Drosophila melanogaster: one gene and its partners. The protein of the gene in region 1 interacts with the protein of each later gene in a pairwise test. Each region holds a gene or a part of one and is shown in the gene's direction. Other genes may lie near its edges.

The links.
Region 2: the proteins of TfIIEbeta (region 1) and CG10621 interact in a two-hybrid assay, tested with the Drosophila melanogaster proteins (one large-scale study listed by BioGRID).
Region 3: the proteins of TfIIEbeta (region 1) and cerv interact in a two-hybrid assay, tested with the Drosophila melanogaster proteins (one large-scale study listed by BioGRID).
Region 4: the proteins of TfIIEbeta (region 1) and up interact in a two-hybrid assay, tested with the Drosophila melanogaster proteins (one large-scale study listed by BioGRID).

Annotation. Positions count from the first base shown.
Region 1 is NT_037436.4:4,284,470-4,289,986, forward strand, and holds TfIIEbeta (transcription factor IIEbeta), read left to right. Parts: upstream 1-2,568; 5' UTR 2,569-2,680; coding exon 2,681-2,742; exon of another isoform or gene 2,743-2,814; coding exon 2,815-2,919; intron 2,920-2,994; coding exon 2,995-3,157; intron 3,158-3,217; coding exon 3,218-3,508; intron 3,509-3,564; coding exon 3,565-3,822; 3' UTR 3,823-3,880; downstream 3,881-5,517. Other genes in the region: CG1316 (uncharacterized protein), read left to right, coding at 1-72, 136-521, 584-647, 706-803, 956-1,062, 1,130-1,300, 1,378-1,449; Hexo1 (hexosaminidase 1), read left to right, coding at 4,626-4,702, 4,777-5,411, 5,492-5,517.
Region 2 is NT_033779.5:18,950,474-18,956,899, reverse strand, and holds CG10621 (uncharacterized protein), read left to right. Parts: upstream 1-2,468; 5' UTR 2,469-2,628; intron 2,629-3,109; exon of another isoform or gene 3,110-3,326; 5' UTR 3,327-3,339; coding exon 3,340-3,496; intron 3,497-3,562; coding exon 3,563-3,742; intron 3,743-3,902; coding exon 3,903-4,561; 3' UTR 4,562-4,694; downstream 4,695-6,426. Other genes in the region: Bhmt (Betaine-homocysteine S-methyltransferase), read left to right, coding at 1-469, 576-956; Nedd8 ubiquitin like modifier, read left to right, coding at 5,185-5,202, 5,363-5,493, 5,554-5,659; CG10428 (uncharacterized protein), read right to left, coding at 5,976-6,426.
Region 3 is NC_004354.4:15,575,854-15,581,134, reverse strand, and holds cerv (cervantes), read left to right. Parts: upstream 1-2,963; 5' UTR 2,964-3,245; coding exon 3,246-3,324; intron 3,325-3,369; coding exon 3,370-3,983; 3' UTR 3,984-4,149; downstream 4,150-5,281. Other genes in the region: CG9215 (uncharacterized protein), read left to right, coding at 1-49; CG7872 (uncharacterized protein), read right to left, coding at 1,700-2,701.
Region 4 is NC_004354.4:13,599,010-13,605,585, reverse strand, and holds the start of up (upheld), read left to right. Parts: upstream 1-3,007; 5' UTR 3,008-3,168; intron 3,169-3,220; exon of another isoform or gene 3,221-3,357; intron 3,358-3,931; exon of another isoform or gene 3,932-4,218; intron 4,219-5,468; 5' UTR 5,469-5,493; coding exon 5,494-5,516; intron 5,517-5,805; exon of another isoform or gene 5,806-6,125; coding exon of another isoform or gene 6,126-6,128; coding exon 6,129-6,170; coding exon of another isoform or gene 6,171-6,174; intron 6,175-6,576. UniProt on the Drosophila melanogaster protein: Troponin T is the tropomyosin-binding subunit of troponin, the thin filament regulatory complex which confers calcium-sensitivity to striated muscle actomyosin ATPase activity.

The DNA of each region.
Region 1 (5,517 bases):
GGAATCTGTCACAATTGTCAAGGAGAAGAACAATGGCAATCCCAAGGGCTTCGGATATGTCCGCTTTACCAAGTGCGTGGCGAATGTAGCATTGCTAATTGTCCTAGCCATAACTAATCTAATCTCAATGCACAGGTTTTACTATGCAGCTGTGGCTTTCGAAAACTGCTCCGCCAAGTATAAAGCTGTCTTTGCCGAGCCAAAGGGTTCTACACGCACACAGCGTGACCAGTACGGCCGTCCCTCCGAGGACAATCCCTTGTATAGCAGCTCGGGACGTGGCAATTCCAATTTCAATGGAGGCGGTAGCAGCAGCGGTGGCGGCGGCAGCAACAGCTACAACAACGACTGGAATGTATCGCAGAACAACGACATGGCGGCCTTCCTGCGCATGCAGAATGTGCCAGTGGCCCAGCCATCCTGTCTGGAGGTTAACGTGAGCAACTGCGTCAACCAGGATCAGCTCTGGCGTCTCTTCGACATAATTCCCGGCTTGGATTACTGCCAAATCATGCGCGAACGTAAGTGACCAACCCAGTGTGGGTTTCAAACCCCTTTTGAACTACTTATATCTCCGTTGTAGATGGACCGCGCACCAATGAGGCCTTAGTGGTGTACGACAACCCAGAAGCCGCCATTTATGCCAAGTAAACAAAGCCCTAAAACTCATTTTCATGCAGGCTTTAAAACACTATTCTTCTTTAGGGACAAACTTCATGGCCTGGAGTACCCAATGGGCGAACGCATCATTGTCAAAGTCAATGGAATGAGCTCAGCTCGCATGGACACATCCTTCATAGACAGTACGCGAGTTAAACCTATCAAGGGCTACAGGCCGCGCCATCACCTGTAGCCATTTATTAAACGCTTTTGCTTGGTTTATTTCTTAGCACATTTTTGGCTTAAAATGCATGATATTTCCTATTTCTAGACTTAATGTGGTTTTTTATTTTAGAGCGAACCAAAAAGGATGCCATCTGCAATGTTCCCTTGCCCCCAACTCAGCCACTGGCATCGCCGGACGACCAGGTGGCCCAACGACTGTTCATTGTGCTCTCAGCGGTAGGTATCACTGTACCGTGTCCAATTACCATTAGCTATAAACGTTGTTTCTTTCCCATCTACTCAGAACTTGCCGCATTCGATATTGAAGAACATATTCTCTTGCTGGTCGGGACTGATCGACGTCTACCTTCTGCCCAACAAGAACTGTGGCTACGTCAAGTATGCGGAGGTTGAGAGTGCTCAATTGGCCATTCGTACCCTAAACGGAGCCGAAATTTGCGGCACCAAAATCAAGGTTTGTACCGTGTACTCATGTTCTGTTGCTGACAAGCAAGCAATTCTAATCAATTTTAAATTTTTATCTTACTTTAGGTCATGGAGGCTGAGGAGCGAAGTGGCTCCGACGGCGATGATGGCGGTCGCAAGCGATTGAGACGGAACTGAGTGTAAGTAGCTAGTTGAGTATGCATAAATTCCGTATCTATTAATGTAGCCATAATTGAACTGAGTGTGTGCCGTGGTACGAGGTAAGTAGCTGTGCAAATTCCAAACCGAAAACCTTTTAGCGATTTAAGACAATGTGCGCCTGCTGCACTTGCCCTGTGCACCGGTTGGCCATCGATGTCCACGATACCCATGCCGCCCACTGAGCGCGAACATAATAAGCCAAACCATTTTTATCTTTCTATCTCCACAGACCCACTGACAACCAAGAACTTACAGAGAACGCAATGTACGAAAACGTAACTAACTTGAGCATACAGTCCGATAAAAACAGTTGAACTGACCACCAACCACCAAACAACGCAACAACCAACCAATAACCAAACAAGAACCACCACCACAACAACACTCTCCGTACGGAATGCCACATGAACCAGAACCACGGGGACTGGAGAACGCAGACTGGAAACGGAAACTGCGAACGAAGACCATACCCGGGTGAACAAACCAAACAGGCCAACGAAATCACCACACCCGTTGACTACTCTCTACCAATTGACTAACTCAAGTGGGTCTCGTACAGAGCACTCGTAGAAAGACCCATAACCCATACGACCTTTAAACGGAGCCAACGAAACCGCAATGCTCTTGCTATATACACAATATATGCATAGTGTCGTATATATGTGTACTCATACCGCTTAGGGGACTTTTGAATCTACCCGTGATACAGAAACGAACTCTCTGTGTAACTTGAACTCTTACAAACTTATTCCGACGAGATTCAGCCAAGCAATAAATTCAAACGCAATGAATTTCTTAAGAGTATCAACTCTGTCTCGTAAATTCACGCTAAGCCACAGCGTGAAAAATTATTCTTTTCATATATTAGATTTAAATAAACGATATTCTACTGTATAAGGCCAACAATAAATACACTTAAATGGAATAATGTTTTTTTTTTCTTTGGAAGCGAAATGGGAAACAAATTAATTCTCGCTATGCAGATTTTCCATATATATATAATAAATTTTTTTTTAAAAGCGAATGGACTTTTTGAAAGGTCGTTAAATGAACCAGTTCCGAAATGTACAACTTCAGTGTCGCAGCCCTGGTAAGTTCCGGTTCCACGGACAGCTGAGCAGGCATTGTTTAGATTTTGTAAATTGTTGATTTCTCGCAGCAGAAAGTTTTTTTTCGTAGAGCTAAATAATAAAAAAAAACATTCGAAATGGATCCAGCACTGCTTCGCGAACGCGAGGCCTTCAAAAAGCGGGCGATGGCCACGCCCACGTGAGTACCGCACTTGTGGCCCCTCTGATAAAGATTGCTTCTCGAAAATTACATGCTATCCTTTTAAAATAGCGTGGAAAAGAAGTCCAAGCCCGATAGACCAGCTCCACCGCCGCCTAGCGATGATTCCAGGCGCAAAATGCGCCCGCCCAATGCTCCCAGGCTGGATGCCACAACGTAAGTTCCTTGAGAGCCTCTGCTACTGCCAGAAATGGTTCTTAACCATGTGGAACTCTTGCATTCCATACTTAGATACAAGACCATGTCCGGCAGTTCCCAGTACCGCTTTGGAGTGCTGGCCAAGATTGTGAAATTCATGCGCACACGTCACCAGGACGGCGACGACCATCCCCTGACCATCGATGAGATTCTGGACGAGACCAACCAGCTGGACATTGGGCAATCCGTTAAGAATGTTAGCTACAGTGCGTGATAAGTTGTGGCAGGTTATTAAACCATTATTCCTCTATTTTAGTGGCTTGCTAGCGAGGCTCTGCACAACAATCCCAAGGTGGAAGCCAGTCCATGTGGCACCAAGTTCAGTTTCAAGCCAGTCTACAAGATCAAGGATGGCAAAACGCTGATGCGTCTGCTCAAGCAACATGATTTAAAGGGCCTGGGCGGCATTTTGCTGGACGATGTCCAGGAATCTCTACCACACTGCGAAAAGGTGCTGAAGAACCGATCAGCCGAAATACTTTTTGTTGTTAGACCCATTGACAAAAAGAAGATTTTATTTTACAATGACAGGACTGCTAATTTTTCGGTGGGTTATAAACACACTCTTCTAAAATCCCAGCCTAATCAATTGTACCGTCTCAGGTGGACGACGAGTTCCAGAAGCTATGGCGCTCGGCTACGGTCGATGCAATGGACGACGCCAAGATTGACGAGTACCTCGAGAAGCAGGGCATTCGCTCCATGCAGGACCATGGCCTCAAGAAAGCAATTCCCAAGCGCAAGAAGGCGGCCAACAAGAAGCGGCAGTTCAAGAAGCCCAGAGACAACGAACATTTGGCCGACGTTCTGGAGGTCTACGAGGATAACACACTAACGCTGAAGGGTGTGAACCCAACGTAGAATAGAGACATTAGATTATACAAATAAAAACCACTCTCAATGGAATTAAGTACACTCGAAACTGGATGTTATAAATTTGTTTAACCACTGCCAATCTAATTAAGAATCCGCTGTGGCCGAAATCTCATTCCTCAAGATTTATAGTACCAGATTGCTGTTCTGCCTGTGGCATTGAACTTAAAAATATGACGACCGGCACAGGGAAAGATAATTAAAAAGCAAAACTATGTAATCTTTTCCTGACATTCCCCATTGCTTTCCACACCTGATGGCTGGTGGTGTGCGTGTACGAGGGCCAGAATCGATGCTGGTGGGCAGTTAAATTGGCAACAGAGGGAAGCCGTAGCTTTAGTCTGCACTGAACAGCAGCCAAGTTCAGTTGGAATCGATTTGGAATAACCTATATTTTGGTACGGCGGTTGTGCGGGCTTATCAGGAAAATTATCTATATATTGGACTCTACAAATCTAAAAAAAGATTGTGTTGCTATTTGTAATCTATTAAGATTATAACAAGAGATCCGATATTCAGTATAGACAAAAATATAGCTCATACGACTCGTAAATCAGTCATATTGCAAACTATCGTTCGTCCTCTAACTTGTTCAATTTAAAAGATAGGGTATTCATAAGTGGACTTGCATGAAATCCGATTCTTTGTTTACTTGGCTTGACTCTTTGGCACGGACAATGAGCTCTCTACTCGGCGGCAAAAACTTGTTTTGAAATACTCAATTTGTTTAATTATCATTCCCGAAGCATTCGCCAGTTGGTTTTGAGAGTTTCTGTGCTGAGGTTGACGAAATGAAGTCGACGCGGACTGCACTTGGAGTGGCCCTGCTCCTGGCCCTGGTGTCTCAACTGGCGGCCCACAGCTCGGAGTGAGTAAATCAAACCTCGTATGCTATATAGATTAGGTCACTGACTTTCTCTTTGACTTGATTCCCGCATCCAGTGACTTGGTTTACGGCTACGAGTGCCGCAGTGGCTACTGCCAGAAGGTAGAGCTCAGCGAGGAGAACTACGTCAAGGCCATCAGTCTGCCCGTGTGCCGGCTCTTCTGCGGCAGCTCCATCGGCACCTTGTGGCCCAAACCGACGGGCACTGTGCGTCTGGACACGTTGATGCGCCAAGTGGACATCTCCTTCATTGATTTCAATTTCAATGGAATTGCCCGCCAGCAGAAGCTATGGCGAGCGGTTGAAGACCGTTTCATGAACATGCTCGAAGCCCAGATTCCGGATCGCAAGGTTCTGGCACGAGGTGGCTACCGTATGTCTGTGAACATCAATACTCCGGATGAGCCGACACCGGCCAGACTCACCCTGGATACGGATGAGAGCTATACGCTGGACATTGATACGGATGCCTCGGGTCATGTGCTGGCCAACATAACCGCGTCCAACTTCTTTGGAGCCCGTCATGGCCTGGAGACACTAGCCCAGTTGATTGTCTACGATGACATCCGCCGCGAGGTTCAGGTGACTGCCAATGCCACCATCAACGATGCTCCCGTGTACAAATGGCGTGGATTGCTCCTGGACACCTCCCGTAACTACTACTCTGTGAAGTCCATCAAGAGGACGTTGGGTAAGGCAATGGTTCAGGAAAGAGGCAGGGGAGGGTTATGTTTTCCGTTGACTCTATGAGTATCCTTTTTTCCTCCTTAGAGGGCATGGCCTTGGTCAAACTGAAC
Region 2 (6,426 bases), on another chromosome or scaffold:
AGCTGTGATCCAAACACATCTGGACTTTCTTCGCAACGGAGCGGATATTATTCTAACCAACACGTATCAGTCCAGCGTCGAGGGATTCGTGAAGTACCTGGGCGTGACCAGAGAACGAGGTGTGGAGTTGATCCAAAAGAGCGTTCAACTGGCCAAGCAGGCAAAGGAACAGTACCTTAGCGAAATCGGTTCTGAAGCGGAGTCGGCTCTTCCACTGATCATGGGCTCAATAGGTCCATATGGCGCCTATCTCCACGATGGATCTGAGTACACCGGCAACTATGCGGACAAGATGTCCAAGGAGGAGCTGAGGGCGTGGCACAAGACAAGAATTGAGATTTGTCTCGCAGCTGGAGTGGATGGATTGGCCCTGGAAACACTTCCATGTCTGATGGAGGCAGAGGCAGTCACCGAATTAGTACTGGACAACTTTCCGGATGCCAAATTCTGGGTCTCCCTGCAGTGCATGGTGAGTAATATCGCAAAAAACAATAACATTCTTTATACAAAACAAGGGTAAAAAATATATCGTTCAATTACATTTAAAAATCCACTTTATGTTCCGATATTTTCAGGATGAAAAGCACATGGCTAGTGGAGAAAACTTCGCGGAGGCGGCTCTCTCCCTCTGGCGGTTGGTCCAAAGTCGGAAGGCTGAGAACCGGCTCCTTGGGATCGGTCTGAACTGTGTAAACCCACTATTCGTGACCCCTTTGCTATCATCGCTTACCAAAGTGGCCGGTTCGGATCGCATCCCACTGGTGGTCTACAGCAATCGCGGCGAGATCTACGACGTCGAGCAGGGAGATTGGACTGGAACCGGCGAGGAGGTGGTCAAGTTTGTGCCCGAGTGGATCCAGCTGGGAGTGCGCATCGTTGGCGGCTGTTGCCGGGTCTATCCGACGGACGTGTTGGCGATCCGCAAGTACGTCGATGGCCTCAACATAAAGCCGTAATCGGGAGAGAACTCCGGTCACTGATAGCAGCCTTGTCGCTAATGCGAAAGCTGTTTCGTGTGACTAGACCTAGACCTATTTAGTTTGCTAAATACATATACGCGAGTACTAGATGTACCCAGATCAGATGGCTTCCTAATCAGCAGAGTGTGGAAAAAAGCGTGGACGGCTGGCTGGGAGACAAACACAGATTAGGCGGGCGGACCAAAGGTAAACAAGTGGGCTGGGGATATGGGCAGACGTTCGCCCAACGACTGTTTTTGCCAACCTAGCTCAATTTTTGAGTCCAAATCAAAACAATTTTCTATTCAATTATAACACAAAAACGTGCATTTGTCCTTTGAAAAACTTGCTGTGTTCTTAGCTTTCTATTCTTTATAGCCGGATTTAAATTCTTTAAAATTAATATTGTTAAAAGTGTGTATGTATGTACTGATGTAAAGCAATAAACTACAAAAATATCAAAAATAGTTGTTTTAGTTATCTTCAATATATCATATTTTTAGTACAGTATTAAAATAATATCTTCATTAGAGATTCATCAAATCTAATCACTTCTTACATATGTACCAAGGCAAACGCCTTCTGGTACGCAAGGTACTTTATAGAGAAGGGTATGCCCTTCTATTCTTGCGGTTCTCGACTTTATCACTATGAAAGATATTTCAAAATTTTTTGGAACTTCATACCGCATTTTTAAAAGAGTACTTACATTTTTGGCTGTTGAAGCTTTTGAGGATGGTGGAGCCACATGTCCACCTATTGCACTCTGACCCAATCTGGCAATCAGCCTAATCGGATACTTCGTTCAAAAAACATGATTTTAACGGCCATTTTCAAATTGAAAGCCTTTTGTCGGTCAATCTCTTACTTTACATTTTACTTTATTTATTTATTTATTTATTTATTTTTTTTTTGTCCAAATATTAATAACAATCATCACTTTAAGCTCATCTCTTTTAGAGGAGATTTTATTTGATATATCTTATGTCTTATTTCCTGTTCATTAGCGATTTGTTTACCAGAATAGGGGTTAAATGTTGTTTTTCTCTTTGACATCAGTAGACCTATTTTTGGACCATAATCTATTGAGTGCGGTCGGAAGCTCACCCATTTTCCTTTAAGGAGGACAGAGTCAACAACCAAGTACATCTTGAAGTGTTGGTCCTAGGCGGCGTCCAGAGGTTATCGGCGTCGACTTAGCAGATGCGACATCCCGAGCAGAGTCACTCGGAAGCCAGAACCACGCACAGCGGCGCTTTGACGATTTCATCAGCTTCATCAGCCTCGTGGAGGGGGAGTCGCAGTCCACCCGGACAATCCAATCTGGCTGGCCAGCGTCTGGCAGCTGTGCACCGGGCTTATCACCCACTTGGTGGGGGCACTCTCATGTTTGTGTTTGCCGTTTTGTTTTGTTATAAATTATTATAAATATTATAAATTTCGCCCTGATAAGCCGAGCCGCACAGCTGAGTGGCCCTTCGGAAAGTATAAAAGCCCCTCGACGATACGTGAAACATTTAAACGTTCGTCGAGCGTCCATTGCGACTGATCATATCCACCGTTCCGAAAGATTTGTGATAACCACTTGATAACCAACCAGCCAGTCTAGTGTCTAATAAAGTTGTTATTGAATTTGCCCATTTACAAGATCCATAAACAAGCTGTCAAGGTGAGTGCGAGACCTTATCGTGTGTTTTTCGCTTCCCTACCGATAGATTTTGATGACAGACGGTGTATACACTATCCAAGGAGTATGCTTAAAAGTGCAACAAAGGGATCTTATAAGCAATCTAAAAATGTTATGCTTGGAATACTTACATATATTAAATATTAATATATTTTTTAATTTGGAACAAGAATAGATCTTGAAACGTAATAAATGATTCACTTTAAAAGATATATATTTCTCAAAAATTGTTGCCAAATTTTAAAGAGCTGATGTATATTTTGAATTTAGCGTATACAGAATAAAATGTTTCAGGCTTTTAACTCGCCATTTATTGAGATACGTAAAAATGTGACCTTGGTTTTAAATTTGTATACTATTCAGTGAAAGCTGAATACTCCTAGAATTAAATCTTTTTTATAATAAATCATAAGACTCATATAACATATATCTTAGCTAAAGAACTTTGAGCTGTTTTTCTCAGTGTGTTTTTTAGATTAAGCCACTGGTCTTTTGTTCTGCCAAGTTCGTTGAACTGAAAAATAGAGATTAGTTCTTCCGATACATTGTATAACATCGCCCTGAGTGCAGTGGAATCCAGGTGGCAGACGCAATATACATATTTAATTATCTCGCAGCCCGCTGACGTAGAAATGTAACTAATAATCAATTTTCAACGGATCATCCTCCACCCCTCTTAGTAATCTTTCAATCATGGGTTTGACGCGCGTGCTGGTGAAGGATGGCGGTTTCGGCACCCAGATGACCGTCCATGTGGGTGACTCTGTGGATGGGGATCCGCTATGGAGTGCCCGCTTCAATGCCACCAATCCGGCGGCCATTATCAGCACCCACCTGGACTTTTTGCAGAGTAAGCAATTGTTTTCCGGTAGCAATTGGCAACATACTAACTGAATTTTCCCCTTGACAACACCAGATGGTGCCGATATCATTTTGACCAACACCTACCAGTCCAGTGTCGATGGTTACATGGAGTACCTGGAGCTGGACGAGGAGCAGAGCATCGAGCTGATAAAGAACACGGTCCGCCTGGCCCACATCGCCAAGGAACGCTATCTCACCGAGTGCTATCAGGCGCAGCTGTCGGTGCAGGAGGGTAAGTTGACATCCATGAGGTCCAGCTCGGGCGGGATTAATTTAGATTGTGGTCAAGTGAATGATGTGGTAGGGTCATTACTTTTAATACTTTCTTTAATACTTTATTTTATATATAGTAATATTTACCAATTATATATTCCAATTTATTGTTTTTAAAGGATACCCTTTGATCATTGCCTCCATTGGACCCTTTGGGGCCCACCTGCACGATGGCTCCGAGTACACCGGTAGCTATGCCGACTTTGTGCCGGCCAAGGAGATTACGGACTGGCATCGCGTGAGGATCGAAGCGTGCTTGGAGGCTGGTGTGGATGCGCTGGCCATCGAGACGATTCCCTGTCAAATGGAGGCGGAGGCCCTGGTGGAGATGCTGTGCGATGATTATCCGGATGTGAAGTTCTGGGTGGCCTTCCAGTGCAAGGATGAGAATACCCTGGCGCATGGAGAAACCTTTGCGGACGCGGCGAATGCTATTTGGGACCTCTTGGCTGAACGAAATGCCCAGGATAAGTGCCTGGCCATCGGAGTAAATTGTGTGCATCCGAAGTTTGTGACCCCGCTCTTTAAGAGTTTGAATGGTGACCGCGAAGTGGGTGAGCAGATACCGTTGGTGGTGTACCCCAATAGCGGAGAGGTATACGACGTGGTCAACGGCTGGCAGGGAAGGGAGCACTGTGTGCCCTTGGCGAACTACGTTCCGGAGTGGGCGCAACTGGGGGCCAAGGTCATTGGGGGATGCTGTCGCACTTATGCGAGGGATATACGCCACATCGGGGAGGCCATTCGCGACTGGAACAAACTGAAGAAGCTCTCATAGGGATGAACTTCTAAGCTGGGGATCTCAGTACCTTCGAAAAGAACAAAGTAGTTATCCATTTAGTACTGTAAATAAATGTATTTAGTTATTAAGGCATACAACTTATTTTAATAAAACAGAAAAGACAAAAGACAAAAAAATACTTTTTAATTTTCTAAGATCCGAGATAAAACATTAATAAACAAATTGCTCTTAATTCAAATCCCTCAAAAGTGACGCCTTCCATTTTTTTCAAAAGTTAAAAAATGTAGTAATGGCATTCAATGGATTTTTGCATCTCATGAGTAAAATAATTTAAGGAGAATTTGAATTCTAAATATGTGAGACTTCTAACCGTAATGGGCACACTATAAATCAAGCTACAAAAAATTTACATAAATTAAGTTCTCCTTTTTCGAAATGTATTTTTTTACACGTGAATTGTGTAGAGATGGAATGATGGAGAAAATACTATATTTGTAATAGTGTGGAAAACAATCGATGGTCATCGACAGTACTATCGATAGTTGCCAGTCGTACCAACGCCGAAAGTGACAGCCAAAAAAGAGAACCAGCTGTGGAGATTTGCAAAAATTTCGGCAATTTTGAATTTGTACAGGAGCGCCTAGTTAAATACACACAAAATGTTGATCAAAGTGAAGGTTAGTGTGGAAGATATGGAGTAGCAAAAAAGTAGGATAAAGATAAATCACAGCCATCGTGCCCAGCGGGCACTTTGAACAACAACAAAATCGTCGAATATTACAGTCAATATATGTGTGGCTGGATTATTAATGTAAATATGTATTATCTTTCCATTAGACCCTGACCGGCAAGGAAATCGAGATCGACATTGAGCCCACGGACAAGGTAGATCGCATCAAGGAGCGCGTGGAGGAAAAGGAAGGCATTCCGCCCCAGCAACAGCGTCTTATTTTCTCCGGCAAGCAAATGTGAGTCTTTCTGGCTATTGGTCATTGATTTTAGCTTATTTCGCATGCGATCCCCCCCAGGAATGACGATAAAACCGCGGCGGACTACAAAGTGCAAGGTGGATCCGTTCTTCACTTGGTATTGGCTCTGCGAGGAGGTGATTCAATCCTAACACCTTGTGTGTAACTAGCGTGTTCATAAGTGGAAAACATTCATTTAAAATTCACTCAAATATATTAAGCTTGAGAAGCGTCATATGGAGAATTAATATATGTAAACTAAAAAGAAGTCTTAAAAGTGGTTTAGAAGAAAACAAAGTGTATTCGCATCGGAGGAATTTAGACAGAATGGATTGGGGCCAACCGGGTCCGTAATAAAACATGTTTTTTTGTAAGCCAACATCTAAATCATTCGAAAAAAAGAAGAACACTCCACAATGGTGGGCTAAGGTTTAAAACATATCAAAAAGGCATTTATTTTGTCTCAGTGGCAGATTGTAAGTTCAGTTCTGTTTAACAAAACGTCCGACTAGCAGGTGATTCTTTGGCGTACACTGTTCGGGCTTTAAGCGTGTGAGAATGACCTGGTAGCCCGCCTCCTCCGCCTGCAGCAGGCGATCGGTGTCCACCACGGACATGCAGTGGAGTCCTTGAAGCGTGGTTTCTGGCTTGCAGTTGGTTGTCCCCATCTCGTGTGCCTGATCTGCCGAGTGGGCAATGTACAAGTAGTCCTTTGTGTCTAACACCTTTTGGAACGCTTTGCTCAATGGGTACGAAATGTGAGGCATGGGCTGCAGAGAACCGTAGCAGCAAGGACAGCAAACAAAATGTGCCTTGGCTCTCCGGCACTGCTGCAAAACGATATCTGTCGCCGTTCCACACGCGTGCAAAGAGGCCCCGATCTTGAATCCTCCGACAAAGTAATCTATGTTGCATTGGTAAAAAACGCAGTTG
Region 3 (5,281 bases), on another chromosome or scaffold:
GCTGGACACCGAGGAGTTCTGTGACGAATCCAAGTACATGATAGAATAGTATTACTACCGGGACAACTCACCGCACCACTAAGGGGCTGTCTCCACACAAGGATGGCCCCAAACTTCCCCACCCCGTACCATTTAGACAACCAGGCTAAGAAGCGTAGCTCTAAGAAATCGGTGTAAATAAAATGGAGATATTCGGATAGAAAGCTTATGAAATATTGGCTATTTTTTATGGAAAGTGGCTTTAAATAGAACATATATAGTAATGTGAATGGAATATTACTTAATGCGAATATTATTTGGGGAGCAATTGCGAAGAACCTTACAAACCCACAATAAGTAGTTAACAATGTGCATTTATATTCTAGCTACTTTAAAGGGATTTATTGTTTAACAATTCATTAGAAGAAATGAAAAGTTAATACATGTTTATTATATTGGTAAGTTATGCTTTATGCTTATATTACCTTAAACAATCTGAGGCCTTTGAATCTTTAGAAAAAATGATAAGGTAATAAATGTTTATTAGTTTAGTAACTTAAGCTGTTATATTACTTTAAACAAATTGAGGACTTTGATTCTTTAGAAGAAATTATACGATTGTAAATGTTTATTATTTTATGCTATTATATTACATTAAACAACTTGAGGACTTTGATTCTTTAGAAGAAATGATAAGGTAATAAATGCTTATTATTTCACTACCTTATGCTGTTATATTACTTTAAACAAATTGAGGACTTTGATTCTTTAGAAGAAATTATACGATTGTAAATGTTTATTATTTTATGCTATTATATTACATTAAACAACTTGAGGACTTTGATTCTTTAGAAGAAATGATAAGGTAATAAATGCTTATTATTTCACTACCTTATGCTGTTATATTACTTTAAACAAATTGAGGACTTTGAAGACATGTTTAAATAAAAATTGGTATACGTGAACTGCGAATAGCGAAATGCAAGAGCCACACGCATGTATCCGAAACTAAAGTCAGCATTTCGCAAAACAAATCAACTTTATTTGAAGGCTACCATTGAAAAATCTAGACTTCTTTACTCTTCAGCTTATTTTCAAGCACGTACTTAAGTTTAACTTTCAGCAACCGCACCAAACCAAGAAACAATAAAAAACGAAATTGTTTCTAAGCAAACTGTGTAAACAAAAGCACGGAGAGATGCTGTTTAGAGCGAATAAATGCCACGAGATCGAATTTTTGGCCATCCAGAACAACTGTGCAAACCAGGCACAGTGAACAACCAGTAAGAGAGACGTTTGAATTTTATCTAGTTTATTACAGTAATCGGTTTAGTCAAGTTAGTTAGGAAACACGCGAATGTGGCGTGCTTTTTTTGTGACCAGCCAGGTAGGGGTATAATTGTTCTAGGATGGTTCGTTCACGGCAGCCAGTGGACACTGTGCCGACGCGTACCGAACGTGGCCACGTTCTTGAACCGGTTTTGGCGGATCGCTCCGGCGGGGTCAACGTTTCGCCCTTTGGCGGACAACACCGGGACATTAACATAATTCATATTGATATAGTTGGTGTACAAAAAATTTCTAAATATATATATATAAATGTATCAAAATTTAGACGGTATGGGGATGCCGAGGGCGAGGAATTTGGGATCGGTTTTACAACACGCACACAACAGACTTTTAGATGGAACAATGAAACTTGAACATCGCAGAGCAGCGGCTAATCCTCAAAGGTGATGCGGCCGGGTCCGTGGTTCTTCATGTATCGCCTGTACGCCTTGTATCGTGGATTCTCCGCCAGCTTCTTTTTCATCTCCTCTTCCTGTTCTGCCTTCCAGGCGACGAAGTTCTCGCGCTTCCACAGCTTCAGATGCAGGTACTCCTCGATCAGCTTGTCCTCCTGCGCCTCGAACTGATGCTGGCCCATGCCCAGGTGCCGGCGGATGAGGTAGAGCTTCTGCTCGCGGCCATACGGCTGCTTCATTACCGTGTAGCGCCAGAACCACTGAGCGTGCCACACGATGAACGAGAGTATCGTGTAGGGGCAGATGATCAGCTGCACCCACAGCACATCCCAGAGTGTCGGCTTCGCATAGCCGCCCTTAACGTCCATCTTCTCCTCGATCACCCGCCGGATGATCCGTTCCAGCTCATCGCGCTGATCGTTCTTGGACATACGATTCTTGCCCTTCTTCTGGATCTTTTCCTGGATCTCGTCGCGAGCTATTTCCAGGGCCTGGTTCCTATACTTGGGCACCGTGGCAAAGTACTTGATGGCAGAATCGTAGCGCTGCCAGCCGGAATAGTACTGGATGACGGACACAATGGTTAGGACGACCACGATAACCACGCGCACATCCACCTTGGGCGCCACGCGTCGCCGGTAGTAGCGATAGTAATGCGCATAGTATGCATCCGGGTTGTCCAGCATGTAATCGTAGTCCGTGCGCGACTCCTCATCGCGCAGGATCTCGTAGGCGGTGGCCACCAGCTTAAACTGCGTCTCCGCCGCCGCCTTGGCCTCGGCACCCCGATGCAGATCTGGATGATAGCGCCTCGCCAGCTGGCGGTATGCTTTGCCGATCTCCGACTTGGACGACTCTCTGGTGACGCCCAGCACGTCGTAACAGTTTTCCTTGCCACAGTACAGGCCCTCTAGCAGGCCCAGGGCCATCGTGGGCAGCAGGGCCAAGAGCACCAACCGTAGTCCGTGCGTCCGCATCTTGGATAGCGCTTTCACCCTGGGGACACGTGTAGCTGCAGCTGGGGCGCACAGCTGGCACTCGTTGGCTGGGATCGGATCGGAGCGGATTGGTTGTGACTTGGATTGGTCCGCAGCAACTGGTGGCAGTGGCGGTCGCGCTGGCGCTGCTCGTCCGTCTGCTCGGCGTTTGGCACACTGAAAAGTTGGCCGCCGCTCGTTATCCAGGTTGACATTGGCCGATAACACCGATAACCGCGATAGCTCGCGGGTGGATAAGACCGTATGTTGGGGATATGGTCACTCTAAGTTAACTCATTTTACATTTTATTTTAGAGTCGCTAATTTGACGCACATTTATTTTACTTAAATTTCAGGCATAAAATCCATGCTTATACACCACGATTATTAACAGTTCGCCAAATACCGATTACACCCTCGTTAGGCTGCCTATCGAACTTATCGGTCCTAGCTGAACCTAGCTAAGCGTCAGTCTTGAACATTTGGATCCAAATATTCTGGATTTGCAATTTGCAAAGCGTCTGCATAGAATCTGGGCTTTAAAATGGACTTCAATTACCATGTGGATTCGGCACTTACCACTTTATTGGAAAACCAAAAGTTCTTCAAAGAAATGGCAGAAGGTAAGCCATGCGACACACTGAGACATCTTTAAAACCTACCCACAGTCGTGTCCGATTTCAGTGATGGCAGGGAGATCCAGAAGTTGTTGGACCAGAACGTGGATCTCGCCGAGAATCTCATCCGAATGAAGAGCAAGCACCAATTGCTCAGCAAGGCTATGAAGCATGCCAAAAACTCTAGCAACACCATCGAGAAGTTCGAGGAAGTCTGGAAGGAGCGCTCCGAAGCGGTGGAGCAGAAGCGCATCGATGTCAAGAACTCAGCCGAGTTCAAAAACTTCATGAAAGCGGCAGCTCCCCAGGCGGGTGCGGAAACAAATGGTCAAGCGAATAGCGCCGCCCATGACGAGGACCTTATCATGGAAGCCACCGGCGGCGAGGTCTTCTCGCTCTACGATCCCTGGTCCAAAGCCTTGATAAAGAACCCCGTGCGCAACAAAAAGTGCGGCCACATCTACGACCGCGACTCGGTGATGCTGATCATCACGGACAACATTGGTATTCGATGCCCAGTGCTCGGCTGTCCCAACAGGTCCTACATCCATCCAGCGCACCTGGTCAAGGACTCCAACCTACAGCAGAAGTTGCAAGAGCGCATGTCTGACGCGATCGAGAAAGAAACTTCCTCGGAGGAGGACGATGAACAGGCAGATCATTAATTATGCGCAACTTCCTTCTTGTCGACTAATAACGCAGCGTAAGATATCACGTTCTTGTAAGACAACCATTTGATGAAAATTTAAGGTACAACGAATAAACATGTTTTAAAAATAGTCCCGAAAAAATTTAGAGAAAATATATTAGAAGTGCAGTATGCACGTATGTATATAGTTTGCGATTTATTTAGAAAATTGGTACAAATGTAGAAACAAATGAATATATAGCACGATTGCCATCGAAATCATCGCCGAAACATTCTAGCGAGTCTTTGCCGCAGACGATCCACATCAGACTCATATGGCACCAATGGCACCTTGTCATTATCCGGATCGCTACTATCTTCAGAGGAGATCCAGACTGATTTACCATTGCTAAGCTTCGGCTCTGAATCCCCGCAAGCCATGGGGTCCTTCAGCATGGCTGCTTCCTCATTGTTTTTGGTTTTTTGCCGGAAAAAGCTTCCGGCATGGGTGCCTTGGTCAATGGGCCAGCTGTTGGCGACTTGCGCTGGAAATCTCTACAAATAACGAAGAATCTATCGGGAGCGGTGAACGGAATAATGAAATCGGTGAGCTCTATGAAGAATCGTAGGACTTCATTGTTTCGTTTAGAAAACCTATCAACTTGTATGCGTAAAGCATTTTCTTGAAATGGTCATCTTAAAAATGCTGTGCTTTGCAAATAGTTAAGTATTATCCGCTCGGATATGTGAATCAACTGAGGTCCTCACGCCAAATTATAAATGTGACTTGTAGACTGCAAAGTCATCGCCTTCTTTTTTGAGTTCTTGACACAAGCAAAAAGGGTTGCCATGGCGTTGTCATGCCCTTGGAGATAAAACCTCTAGACTCAAATATTCTTATTATGTTCCGCTGACATAATAAGTATTAGTGTTTTTATTTCATAATAAATTATGCAATTTACAGCATCGGAAATTGGTAGCTTCAGTATAATATTATCAAATATATTCAGTTTTATACCCGTTACTCGTGAAAGGGTATAGTAGATTTGTTAAAAAGTATGTAACTGGCAGAAGAAAGCGTTTCCGACCATATAAAGTATATATATTCTTGATCAGGAACAATAGCCGAGTCGATCTGATCATGTCCGTATGAACGCCGAAATCTGAGGAACTATAAAAGCTAGAAGGTTGAGATTAACCATACAGATTCTAGAGACATAGACGCAGCGCATGCCCATATTGCCACGCCCACTCTAATGCCCACAACCCAACAAAATAAAATAAATAAAAAACTTCCCCATGTTCAAAATTCTACCGATCCGCCATCTGCACTAA
Region 4 (6,576 bases), on another chromosome or scaffold:
TATAGCCAGACTGTGTATGATGGCTCTGTTCTTAAACGTTTTTATATTTTCTGCTGTTTTCATCTTGGGGTTTCTTCTATGTGTCTTTTTTCTTATGGATTTTTCCGTTGTTTCCTTTTCCCCAATTTTTTTTTGCTTTTTTTAATTGGTCTGTTTTCATTTCATTTAATTTAGTTAGAGCGTATTTTTAAATCGAACATCCAACATATAGATTCTAAAATTGGCACACATCGCTTGTTTGTTCTTTACAAAATATGTTTGCTTGACCTGATCTTATTCATTGAAAAGTTTATGAATTATATATTTTAACTTTAAACTGGAAAGTGCATTGATTTAATGTGTTAAATACATTTAAGTTTATAATAGGAAGCTCTTACTATTCTGGTCACTAAAATCTAAAATTGAAAAGAACATATTTCAGAATTTTAACTGTTTTCTTGCATCATACACAGTAGAAAAAAAATGCAAGTGACACAGCCAACAATAGCTTATTATTTAAGATTGCACCGATTGCAATCAATTCAAATTATTCGACACTTTGGATACGCTGTTCATTCATATAATCCCAGGGCCATCGTTCTTGTCTGAAATCAAATATTTTTCCAGATCTTGGATAATGTTTATGTTATTCCTGATCTATGCAGATATTAGCCACAGTTCCCCGTAAACATCGCCCCAGAAAGCTAACCTATAGATAGACATATAGAAGATATTTAAACAAATACATATACATACTTTAATATATATATATATATATATATATTTTTTATATCGGGCATCTTCGTGCATACGATCGGCACTAAAAACCGAAGGCTACAGACGAATAGCGCCCACACAAAACGTCCAAAAATAGAACAACAAAAATTCGAAACTGTGCTATTTGTTATTCCCTGATTTTCGAATATTCTGACTTGCCTTTCTAACATTCTGATATTCGGACATTCAGAAGATGATGCGAATTGAAATTTACTTGAATACGGCATACGGCATACCCGACTTTCCACCCACTTTCACGCCCACATATGTATATATCTGCACATGTCCGTACTTCTGGTCTACGGATCACTGAGCTATTTGGCCCGATGTTTGCAATAGGTTCGTAGTTGTTTATTGAACGGAGGATGTTATGTGAATCCAGCCAGATGGCAGGCAAAAATTGGAAGCAGCTAAAAAAGCGCTTACAGATGTCGTTTATATCTGGACAGAACACGCCCGTACCATTTCATGCACTAAATCCCAGATAACTCGAACTGCCCACCTGTGTCCCATTGCGATTCTGTAGTTTTGTGGTTTTTGGCAAGCCATGCATAATACCTAGACCCATACATATCACATACACATACATATCTAATTATCTATGCATACATATCTATCTATCTGCGTATCTGGTGTGTGCATTTTGCATTTCGCAGAGGTGCAGATACAAAAATGTTCTAAATTTAAGATACTTGGTAACCAAAAACGAAATCAAAACAAATGCCGAAACTTTGCGACTATATAGTAATTTTACTATTGGAGAATATTGTAATATATATAATTTTAAAATAATATTCATCGCATGTTTTTAATTTACACAGAAGTCTATTTATTTGAACAACTTGTTTATGCAAGGAATTAAGAGAAGTCTTAAATTAATTTTTCTATAATCATATATAATGTAATGTAATCATAATATAATGTAATGTAATCATATATAATGTAATCATGTATGTATAAAAATTTTTACCCAGATTTTGAGGAACTTTGAGATAGCCCAAATATTTTTTTTTGCAGTATTAATAATTTAAGAAGATACAAGTGCAAGCGAAAAACTAAAAATTTTTTTTTTTTTTTATATTCTTCTAGAATTTATATCTAATTTTATGAAAAATTTGGCAAAAAAAAAAACAACGGAAATCGATGTTGATGAAAGTACATTTTTAAAATATTGTAAGTTTTTGCTTTATTTTAATTTTATTAATACTAGAATACAGAAACAAAATTAAATACAGAACAAAATATGTTTCACTACCCTTACTTAATACAAATATTTCTTATGTGTTATGATGTTTATTAAACGATATGAAAAAATTAATTTTTTTGGCAAAATTTACATATAGGAAAAAGAGATTTTGTCAAATTCTTCAAATTGATTTTGTATGCTTCGAAAAAATAACCCAATAAAGAATGAATTAAATTCGATAGCTTAAAGTGCTGCAAGGCGCGTAAGTGTATCTGAAACTATTTGCCAAAAGTATCTGTTAGAAAGTAAAATAAAAAAAATAGCATAGAAAAAGGAGAGAAATAAAAAAAGAAAATCGGAACAATGACGAATAGATTCAAGTGTTAGACAAATGGCAATGCGATGGGGCCACCTAAGGCCGTTCGACGTCAGCAGTTCGATCGCGATATAGATATAGGTAAATAAATATATATATATATATATATATATATAGGGGGTGATCGGTGATCGCGGCGGACTGGGTTGGAGATTTTGTAGGGCGTGCACTCTGGGGTTCAAATGCTGCAACGATCCGCTGAGGAATCCAAACTATATGTGCTATATATCGGCACGAACATCTGTACGTATATATTATAGAGCAATATATGCAGGCCGACTTTTTAATGGCTGTGAAATTTATGCTCTACGATATTTGATTCCAAAAACAAATGTGTAAAATGCCGCCAACGCACCGAACGTCCGTATGCGCTATATACTTATTGTATGATCTAGTTATGTGCGTGCGCCATTATGGTCTAATGTATAGTATATACTAATATCGTATGCCTCATCTCGCTCTGGCCAAAATGGAAAATTGGAAAACTCGACGGCGGCTGTGTGCGTGTACAAGTTTATGTTTCAGCTGCAGCCCACCTGAAAAATTCACCCAAAACACATCGAACACAGCCAACACAGGCAGGCGCACCCACCACCACCCACTTGTTGCCACATCGGCCAGCGATATGTGGCATATAGCGCTGGCCTGCTCGCACACATGGCCAGCTATTGGCTATATAGAAAGGCGATCGGTGTGTGCGTGGAAATGGCTTTTCCGCGAACGCGACGAAAAATTCTTTAACATAACGTGTAGCAGCGCTTTTCATCGTCAGTTTGGTTAGTCGAACCGCAGCATTCGCTCCTACGACGTCAGCTGCTCGGACTTCAATTCAATTTGTTTTTCTCCCTAAGTAAGTTTTTTTTTTTCTGTTTCTGCTCTACTGCTGCTTCACATCTCCTTCAAATGCTGCATCACCAAAAAAATAAAAAGAAAATATAAAATAAACTTGTGTGCCTAAAAACGAAAAGAAAGTTATCGAAAACGAGAAAACCGAATCCTTTGCGAATAAACCACGAACCACGAACATCAACAAAAGAAAGTTACGAATTGGAAAATCCTAGTGTTATATAACATTTTATTTTTTTTTTTGAAATTTTTTTAAAGTGCAATCTACGAACAAATAGTGCGAATAAATGACTTGAAAGCCACCAAAAAAACGAACTCTGAAGCCAACTTTTTCAAAAAATTTTTTTTTTTTAAACTTTTTTTTTTTATTATGGCTAAAGGCTAAAAATAATTTGAAAAAATTCGCCCAGGCATTGGCGGCGCCAAAAACAATATTCAACGGCAACTACAACAACAGGATTAGCCGCAGCAGCAACAACAACAACAAAATCAAAAGCAACAACAATGCCAGACAGGAATCTATACATATAAATATACATATACATATATGTATATCTTTTTGCTTTCTGAAAGTGTTATATGATCTGAGAGGAAAAGTTCTCAAATTTTTTTCGACGAATTTTAAAAATAAATTCGATTCGTATGTGTGCGCGAGCGAGTGTGTTTTTACCTTGGCAAAATGTCCAAGATACACACACACACACACACAGAGAAACACACACACACAGATACGTAGAGTGAAAACTTTTTTCAATAGCTTTCCGCGCAGGCGCCGATCAGATATGTTAAAGATATAGTAGGCGAAAACGAGACGGAACTATAGCCACCCACACAAGATCGATGGCGAATAGAGATCTGGAGATTTTTGGAGGATATATATAGGACTATAAATGGAAACAGGGCACAGATAGATTGAATTAAAGAAAGGGAAATTTGTAGAGTAAATTCGATAAGGATATAATGACAGGATATAAAAACAGCATATGACAGTTTTATGTTGCTAGGCAGGAAGTAGCTAACACTTACTCAAACTTTGAACTTGAAAAGACAAAAAGTAAGATTCAAAACCATGTTTTTGAAACTAACATGTATGATCAGTAACATTTTTGTATATGTAAGTGTGAAAAGACGATAGACGTATATTTCTGATAGTCTGTCGGATGATATTTAGATCATTACCAGTTTCAATTGAAAAGTTTGTTCAATTTTTCCAGAACTTTTCTCAATACATTTCACATCATTTCCAAGCACTTGCCCCAAAACTGACCCAGTTTATCTAAGGCTAAAAATACAAGCTCAGCAATTGCACTTCCACGCAAAAGTGCAAAGATTATAGAAATAGAATATTCATAATCATAGAAATTTCAAATAGCATATTAAATATATAAATTCGTGGCATAATAACTGGCATAGATATATACAGGCGATCTATGAATGGCATTTGATTTGATTTTCTTTTCATTACACACAAGTACGCCCAAATATATATCAATACATATACATATATAAATTGAAAAGCTTCTTTAGATTTTCCGATTTAGTGCCAAGGTAAAAAAAAAAACGAAAATTTTCAAAAAAGGCTTTGTCCGAAGCTTTTTGATGTTTTCGGAAGCTTTCGGCTCTCGGGAAATTCAATACTGCCCCAAAGTCTATTTTTAATTGAGAAAAAATCGGAGGAAAATGAAAAAACACACATACATAGATTGGACTACGACTCTCTCCTTCGCACACACACAGTTATAGATTGTGGATATAGATAGCATGGGAAATTAAATAATTTTAGAGCAGAGCGTACGGAATTTATCGTTTATTTTTTTCTTCTTGAATTTGAAAGATTATGATGTGAGGACGAGACATTGTTGCCGGCTATAAAAAGACAGGTCGCCCTGCCTACATATACACAGCGGAATCGCATATACATATATATTATATACATATATATAGGGGGAAAGATCCGTCTAAATATAGAGTTATCGCAGGGCGATCAAAGGCTGCTTCAAGTACAGTGAAACCCTGAATAGAAAATAGACAAGGGGTTATCAAAAAGGGCAATCATTTGTTGACTTGTTTGCACACCTGTATTTCGCTGTTCTATTGTTGTTGCTGCTTTGGCTAAAAAAGGGGTTATATTTAATAAGCATTATTTTTAATATCAATTGAATTCAAAAAGAAATATAATAATGGAACACATTCACGTTTTTGGTGTCTTTCCTATTCTATTACAATGGCTTCCTAATTTAATCTTAAATATATGCATTTGAAGACTAAACTAAACTTTTTATTTTCTATATATTGTTATTGCAGGTTTTTTCAACCCTAAACCGTAGCCATGTCCGACGATGAAGAGTACACGTAAGTAGAACCCATGGAATATGTAGGACAAGATGCAAATATTAAGTATACGACGCGTATGACCGCGAACAAGATTTAAAAGTGTGTAAAGTAAACAGATAACTTAAGTAAAGTAGCAAAGTTGAAGAGAAGTATTCGATGGTCTCGTTTGAACCCTTGTTGTTATACGTACTAACTAATTCAACGATCAGATTTTTGTGGATTCTTGTAAGAGAACTTTTTGTAATCACATTTACCAGTGGCACCTATTTTGATCTGTACTCCTTTCTATCTATTTCCACGCATTGTCATCCCTGAACCCGAACCGAAAAACCGACCACGATCCCAAAAACCTCCACAACCACAACCCATGAATCTGTTCGAACAACCGCTAATGTTGTCGTTTCGTTTCTTTTGAAATCAACAACTAATAACAATCAACAACTATTCAACAACAACCACACGACAATTCAACAACAAATCAACAATATCACCTCTGCACCCGTGTGCCGTGTGTAACCCTGCACTTTCACTCCAAAATATATATATAAAAAAAAACACCTTATTCAAAAATCTTAAACCAAAAAATATAAAAAAAAACCAAAATTCGTTTAATTACGAACTCGAAAGCAGCTCCGAGGAGGAGGAGGTTGTCGAGGAAACCCGCGAGGAGACGTAAGTACATTTTTGTTGCCGATTTTTGTCGACATCTTTTGTTGGTTTTGGTGCAGCAGCCTAAAGAACTCGATTGGTGTTCACTTATGTCTATCTTTTTTTTTTTTTTGTTTTTGCCCTAACTATAACAAATTTTTTGATTTTTTTCGAAACCGAACCTTGCCCACCATTTTGTATTCCAAATTTTCTATATGTGTTGTATTTTGTCAATGTCTGCAATATAAAAAACCACCCTTTTTTTAAAATTGGTAGAAATATGTATTCCCCAAAAAAGATTTGAAAAAAAAAAAACACCCAGAAACCCGAAACCAACCCAACATTTTTGTTTTGTGTACTCGTCTGTAAATAATTTTATTTGTTTATTAATTTATCTTTAGTTTTTATTTTTTATTCTGTTTTGTGTACA